Oryctolagus cuniculus: one gene and its partner. The protein of the gene in region 1 interacts with the protein of each later gene in a pairwise test. Links are inferred from orthologs where the notes say so. Each region holds a gene or a part of one and is shown in the gene's direction. Other genes may lie near its edges. The genes, in order: USP20 and VAPB.

Evidence for each region.
Region 2: the proteins of USP20 (region 1) and VAPB interact in binary tests that used the Homo sapiens proteins (3 or more experiments, as listed by UniProt). The two-hybrid records come from large-scale screens. The link is inferred for Oryctolagus cuniculus from reciprocal best matches to the Homo sapiens genes USP20 and VAPB.

Annotation. Positions count from the first base shown.
Region 1 is NC_091432.1:232,706,681-232,709,817, forward strand, and holds the end of USP20 (ubiquitin carboxyl-terminal hydrolase 20), read left to right. Parts: intron 1-731; coding exon 732-803; intron 804-1,331; coding exon 1,332-1,492; 3' UTR 1,493-2,631; downstream 2,632-3,137.
Region 2 is NC_091442.1:3,750,842-3,754,644, reverse strand, and holds part of VAPB (vesicle-associated membrane protein-associated protein B/C), read left to right. Parts: intron 1-1,901; coding exon 1,902-1,982; intron 1,983-3,138; coding exon 3,139-3,318; intron 3,319-3,803. UniProt on the Homo sapiens protein: Endoplasmic reticulum (ER)-anchored protein that mediates the formation of contact sites between the ER and endosomes via interaction with FFAT motif-containing proteins such as STARD3 or WDR44.

The DNA of each region.
Region 1 (3,137 bases):
CCGCAGCAGCCCGGGCCGTAGATCTGAGCTGCTAGAACCACAGAGAGGGGGAGGGCGGGGCTTGGGCGCCGGCTCTGACCCCTGGGAGCCGCAGAGGCGGGAACATCCCCGGAGGTCCCAGTAGGAGCAGCAGGGCCGAGCTCCGGCCTGGACGTGGTCGTCCTCGCCAGAGCGTGGCCTGGCAGGCTCGGCAGAGCCAGTGGGTCCCATGCTCAGGGCGCTTGTCCTCAGGAAGGGGCGGGCCCCCACTGCCGCCTGGGCCCGCTGGTCGGAGTGGGCAGCTTTGCCGGCTCCGCCGGGTGGGCGGGTGTGCCGTGGTTGGGAGCCGACGGCCAGAGTCCCGAGCCCGGCCCAGGTGTAGGTGCTGGCCTTGGCCTTCTCCAGCCGCGACCCGAGCCGGACACTTGCCGAGCCCACAGTCTGTCTCTGCACACAGCCCTCGTCTCCCGTGGCTGCTGGGGTTAAATGAGACCGAGGCGCTTGGGGAGGGGCCTGGGCTGGGGCCGCTGCCTGCCCGGGGAGGGCACTGCCTGCCCGGCCGGCTCCGCCCCCCATGCTGGAGTCCCAAACCTGCCGTGGTTCTAGCTGGCTCTGAGGGCGCCCCCGCTGAGTGCGGTGCGGAGCCTCCCTGGAGGGGCTCCCTGGAGGGGCTCCCTGGAGGGGCTCCGCCGCCTGGTGGGGGGGGCGGGGGGCGGGGCCTGGAGGCGCTGAGCCTGAGCCGTCTCTTCCAGAGCCCCCCGGGCCCATCGACAACAGCAGGATCGCGCAGACCAAAGGAGGCGGCCACGTGCAGCTGAAGCAGGGTACGCCCACGGCCGGCGCTGTGTTCTACCCCACCCCACCCCACCCATGCCCCCCGCTGCCCTGCCCCTCCTACCCCACCCTACCCATGGCCCCCCACTGCCCTGCCCCTCCTACCCCACCCCACCCTGCCCCCAGCCCCCTGCTGCCCTGCCCCATCCCCCTACCCCACAGCTCCGCTGCCCAGACCCGTCCTAACCCACCCCACTCCGCCCACGGCCCCCCGGTGCCTGGCCTTGTTCTCCTACCCCTCCACGCCCCCCCACCCCGTCTGGGAGCAGGGTCCCAAGCAGGTCCTCTGGGCCTCAGCTCTCTCCCCCACCTACCTCCTGCGCCCTCTGCCGGCCCGGCCTGGCCTGTGTGCCAGCCCCGCCCGCGGGCAGCAAGGGGCCGCAGCTGCAGACGGTGCTTGGGCTTCTCTGGCCGGGCCTGTGGCCTCCATGTGACCGTGCTGCACTTGAGCCCGTGCTGGGCCTCCCGCCCTCCTGAGCCCCCGGCCCCCGCCCAGGCCTGCCTCTCCCGCCCTGCAGGGGCTGACTATGGGCAGATCTCGGAGGAGACCTGGACCTACCTCAACAGCCTGTACGGAGGTGGCCCCGAGGTCGCCATCCGGCAGAGCGCGGCGCAGCCCCAGGACCCGGACGGCCTACACGGGGAGCAGAAGATCGAGGCCGAGACGCGCGCTGTGTGACGCGGCGGGCCGCCCCTAGGTCACCCTGCCGGGCCCCTCCCTCTCCCGACACCCTCTCGTGTCCCCGAGCTCGCCTCCCACCAGGCTGCTCGGCAGGATCCGCGTGCGGCCCCGGCTGAGCGCCCGGTGTTCCCGCAGGCCGCGTCTGCCCGCGTGCCGGGAGGGCGCCGCGGCCAGGGCTCTGCTTCACCGTGCGAGGCCAGGAAATAGACTCCCTGCAGGCTTGTTTAAGCGACCAGGACTCTGTGACCTTCATTTGACACCAGTCCCAGGCAGCCTTGTGTCCCCCGACCTGCCTCTCGCTAGATCGGGCCCAGCCTTTGTCCCTGGCACCTGACGCCGCCCCCGAGTCAGAGCCTGGGGCCGGGATGGAGCCTGCAGACGTCTTCCGCTGTGCACGGGGCGACGCGGGGAGCCGAGGCGCCGGAAGCCGCAGGTGGGCAGGGCTCCCTGTGCCTGCCCCTGCGGCCTCGCTCACCCCTGCATCTCGGTGTCTCCAGGAAGACCCCAGAGGCCGGCTGCTCCCAGGGTCTCTGTCCTGCAGACAGAGCTTGGACGTGAAGGGGGCGTGGGTTGGACCTCCCACGGTGGGGACGCCCTCCCCGGTCCTGCTGAGCCTGCCCTGCGACTTGCCCCGCTCCTGGGAGAGCCGGCCCGGCCCCGCCCCCAGGGCACCAATGACAAGCAGAAATACCTCAACGTGTCGTCACCTGCTGCCCTCGCGCGCTCGGCCAAGCCTGCCGGGAGCCGTGTCCTGGGGGAGCCGTGTCCTGGGGGAGCCGTGTCCTGGGGGAGCCGGCGAGGATGGGTCCTGAGACCAAGCCCCTCAGCCCGCTGTGGCCTGTCCTGGGGGAGCCGGCGAGGACGGGTCAGGAGGAGGGGTCCTGAGACCAAGCCCCCCAGCCCGCCGTGGCCTTCTCCGTGGAAGCGCCCCCAGGCAGTTGGAGAAGCCCTGAGCCCCCAGTGGGGCGGGGGTGGGGGGGGCGTCCTTCCCAGGGCCTGTTCCTTCCCCGGCCAGCAGGTGGCGTTGCTCGAAGGGCCCCGCCAGCGTTTCCCGTGTTGGAGCGCTGGGAGCCTGGGGTCGCCCCGCGGCCAGTCTGCGCCCAGGCTGTACAATAAACACAGATGCGTTCCCACGGCCCGCACCGCCGTCTGCGCTCACTGCCGCAGCGTCCGTCACGGGGGAGGCCCGCACAGGCCGAGGCTGGGCGAGGGAGGGGCCCCAGCATGGTTGTCTGAGATGGGGGGGGGGGCTCCAGCAGCGCCTCTGGAGGGCAGGGTGCCGCCTGTGGTCCTGCGTCCAGGGCCCACATCAGAGGCCCGGGGTTCGAGCCCTGGCTCCAGCTCCAGACCCCAGCCTCTGGGGGCAGCCAGGGGGCTCCTGCTCCCCCAGGGGAGACTGGATTCAGTTTCTGGTGCTGGGCTTCGGCCCGGCCCGGCCCGGGCAGGGGGGGTGAATGAGTAGACTGGCACACTCCTCTTTCTCTGGCTTCTCCAAAAAAATTCACAAGATGCCTGTGCAGGATGCGGCCGCCCCAGCGCAGCTTCCTGCGTCTGTTCTAACCCAGCGCGAGCGATCGACGCAATCGACCCTGGAGCGCGGTGCTGCCTGGCGCCGAGGCCTCGCGGGCTCTTCCCTTCTTCG
Region 2 (3,803 bases), on another chromosome or scaffold:
ACTTTTATGAGTCCAAAAGAAATTTTAGACAAAATGTACTGCAGGAAATTTTGGAAATACACAAATGAACACAAACTGAAAGTGATTTGTGATTCCTTCACACTGGGTCAGAGCAAGCACTGCCTTGTGCTTTTCCTTATTTTTAAATGTTTTTATTTTGATGCACAGAAAGGTGAAAACACAGTGCACTGACCACTCCTTACAGCCGCTGCCTCGACTGACCCTTTGTTAGTATCCTGCCACCTTTGCTTCCTCTCTGTCATAGGCTTTCTTTTCTTTTTAGAAAAGATTGATTATTTGAGAGGCAGAGTGACAGGGACATACACACACGCGTGCACACGCACACACACGTGTGTGCACAGACATCTTCCTTCCCCCAGTTCCCTGTCCAAATGCCCACGACAGCCAAGGCTGGGCCAGGCTGGAGCCAGGAGCCTGGGCCTCTGTCCTGGCTCCCACAAGGAGGGGCCCAGGCACTTGGGCTGCCACTCGCTGCCTTCCCAGGAGCATTCGCAGGGAGCTGGGTCAGCAGGAGAGAAGCTAGAACGCCACCACCATTCTGAGTGGGACGTGGGCGTCCTGAGTGGCCTGCCCCTCTGCGCCTGAAGTTTCTGTCCTGTCGAGCCACTTGGGTGTAGAATGCAGACATCAGGACGCCACCCCTCCGTGCGGCCGTGCAAGAGCAGCTAGCTGCTTCCGTGGCCCAGCGGGGCTGTCCTCGCTGCGAGGAGGCGCCTCACTGAGCGTGATTACCTGGTAAACGGGGCCACAGTCAGCAGCATCGAGTTACGGCCAGAAACGGCCCTGGGCCCTTTCGGTTCCAGTGGAGGACCCCAGCCCACTTTGTTTCCCCTGCTCTCAGGCCGTCGGCATGCGGCCGCGTGGCTCGTCAGACGCCCGTGTCCCCGTGTCCCGTGCTCCTCCGCGACGTCCTCGTGACCAGTCGAGGCTGCATTGTTCTGGGCAGGAGTATCTGTGGGTGGTGGCACGTGGCCCTCACCCGAGGAGGCGTGTCGTGGCACTGGTGCTCCCTGCCGCGGTGCCTCTGGCACTGCCAGCCCCTGGTGTCAGTATTTGCCCCCGTGACTAATTGGTGATCCGTGATCCTCTGAGTCATCAGACACAGACCATGCGGCTGGCCAGCAGTCTGTCACCGGTGAGTCAGCGTCCGGCAGTGACCCCACGTGTGCTTAGGGTGCACACGCACTGTGCTGCGCGGTTTCTCCGCGCAGTGTTCCGGGACGCCCCCTGGAAGCTAGGGCTCTCCGGTGTCGGTGCCGTCGCCTGCCTGGCAGCCCTGCGGCATCACATTGGCAGCCGGTTCCCTGGTCGTGGTTCTCGGCACTGGTGTTGCCTGGGTGCCTCCTGGTGGTTGGGGGTGGGCGTGAGGGTCTGTCTCCTCTCTGTGTCATGGCCTTGCAGTTGTGCTGGCCTGTAACTCAGAACAGCGGTAAGCTGGGGCGTGACCCCCCCTCAGGCTGGTGGGAGTGGCGGGGGCCCTGCCGAAGCCGCTCCCCGACGTCTGTGCCAGCTGTCCCTGAAGGGCGTCCCCCGTGAGGAGACACTCACGTGCCCTGGTCGCCTGGACCCTGTGCTGGAGATCGGCCAGGGCTTAGCGGGCGGCAGTGTCCTGCAGCTGTGCCCCGAAGACCAGCCCGGGCTGCGCGGGCTGCAGTCAGGGGCGAGGCCTCGGGGGTGGAGTCCGTGTGCGGGGAAGCTGGCGCGTCTCATCTTCTCATCCTGTCGTGTTAAAAATGCTGAAGTGTCAGCAGACTCAGTTCTGTATTTGATACCATCAGGGCTGTCTCATTCAGTGTTTTTCTGAAATTGTCAGTTAGAGGAAGAAATTATTCTTCCAGCAGCTTTATAATGTCCTGATTATGAAATTTAAATTGTTTTAGTGGAAGGAGGCAAAACCGGAGGACCTTATGGATTCAAAACTTAGATGTGTGTTTGAATTGCCGGCAGACAATGATAAACCAGTAAGTATACCGATAGTTAATGGAAATTGAATGTTGCAAGCTGATGCTTATTTGCATACCATCTCCTGCAAAACCTCGATTTAAGTTGGCAAATTGTTTTCTTCCTCTAATGTATGAAGAAGAAAAAAATAAGCTGAGGTCAACAAACAAGTGGGCCTTTCGGAGAGCGGCCCCCGGCCGCGTGAAAGGGCAGCTGGTGGAGACAGTTTTCCCCTCGGGACTGCAGCCTGTTGGCTGGCTGCGGCAATGTCATAAATCCCTGAGTGCCCGTGTGGCTTGGCAGAGTTAGAGGTGGCGGTAAAACCGCAGACGAGACCCAGCCACGGGCCGCTTTCCCCGTTACCGTGGTCCTTGGCGGATGCTGTGCAGTGCCCAGGACCCCTGCCCAGTGCCGCCTCTCCAGCCCCTCGGCCCCGCTTGCCCTTTTCAGCCCCATCTGCTTCCACGTTAGGGTTCCTGGCCTCTCGCCGGTGACCGTGGGGATGCTGCACTTCCGGGCCGGGCTGGGGTGCCGTCCTGAGCGCTGAGGGATGTTCAGCAGCCTCCCTGGCCTCCACTCATTAAAGCCCGGCAGTGCCCGGCAGTGCCCGGCAGTGCCCCGTCGTGACAGCCAGGAGTGTCTCCAGACGTGCCCCAGGACGGTGATTTGCCCCTGGACCCGCAGAGCACTCGCGCGTGCCCCCACTCCAGCCCTGTCCTCGGTGAGCTCAGGAGGGGCCACAGCCCTTCCCAGCAGGGCGTTGCTGGGGCTCAGCCTCTGCAGATGCCAGCCTTGTTCCACCCTCTCCCTGGGCTCCACCCCTGCCCGCTGGGCCTGGGGGTGTGCAGCTCCTGTGGCTCAGGCTTCGGAGCTTGCACAGTCACCCTGTGCTAATTTTTGCACGACAGGATTTGATGGTGCAAAATCCACAGCCCTTCTCTCTCTCTTTGCGGTATTGGTCTCAGCCAAACTCCATGGTGTGTCCTTGTCCATGATTGCTAGGGCCCTGTTGCTTTCGACTGTGAAGTTACTAGACACAGTGATCCGTTTTAGAACCAAGCGTGACAGTTCACGGTGTGGATGAAACGCTGCTGCGGGTGGTGTTTCCTGAGAAGTGTAAAAACGTCCTCTATTACCTGGTTGGTGACACATGGGCTTTTGTTTATTTCTGAACAGCATGATGTAGAAATGAATAAAATCATATCCTCCGCTGCTGCGTCAAAGACAGAGACGCCAGCAGCGTCTAAATCCCTGACCTCTTCTGTGGACGACGCCGAGGTGAAGAAGGTTATGGAGGAGTGTAAGAGGCTGCGAGGCGAAGTCCAGAGGCTGCAGGAGGAGAACAGGCAGTTCAAGGTACCGCTTCCCCCGACGGTCTGCGAGGGGAGGGCACAGGGCCTGGCTGCCAGATGAGGCTCCCTGGTTTTGCCTTTTGTCCATTTTAACTCGGGGGGCGGGGGGCAGGTTTCCTGGCTTCCTCAGGATCTCAGAAGGATCTGGAACTCCCCCTCGCGTGAAGAACCACTGTCCCCTCAGCAGAAGGTTCTCGACTGTTTAAAAGCTGCTTTAGGAAAAACTGAAAGTAAAATTGGAGGCTAAAAGTAAGACGCCATTGGTCATTTCGAATGCTTCCCGGGCCCCGCTGCCCCTCAGTCGCTGGGGTGGAGACCACTCTGACTGTCCTCTGCTGCTTTCCAAGCTGAAGACGGCGAGGGGAGCGAGCTGCAGGCTGCTGGCTCATTCCCCGCGTGCCCGAGACAGCTGGGGCAGAGCTGGGAGCTGGAACTCAACCCAGGTCTCCCACGGGCATGGCAGGAACTCCAGTCACCTGGGCCAGCACC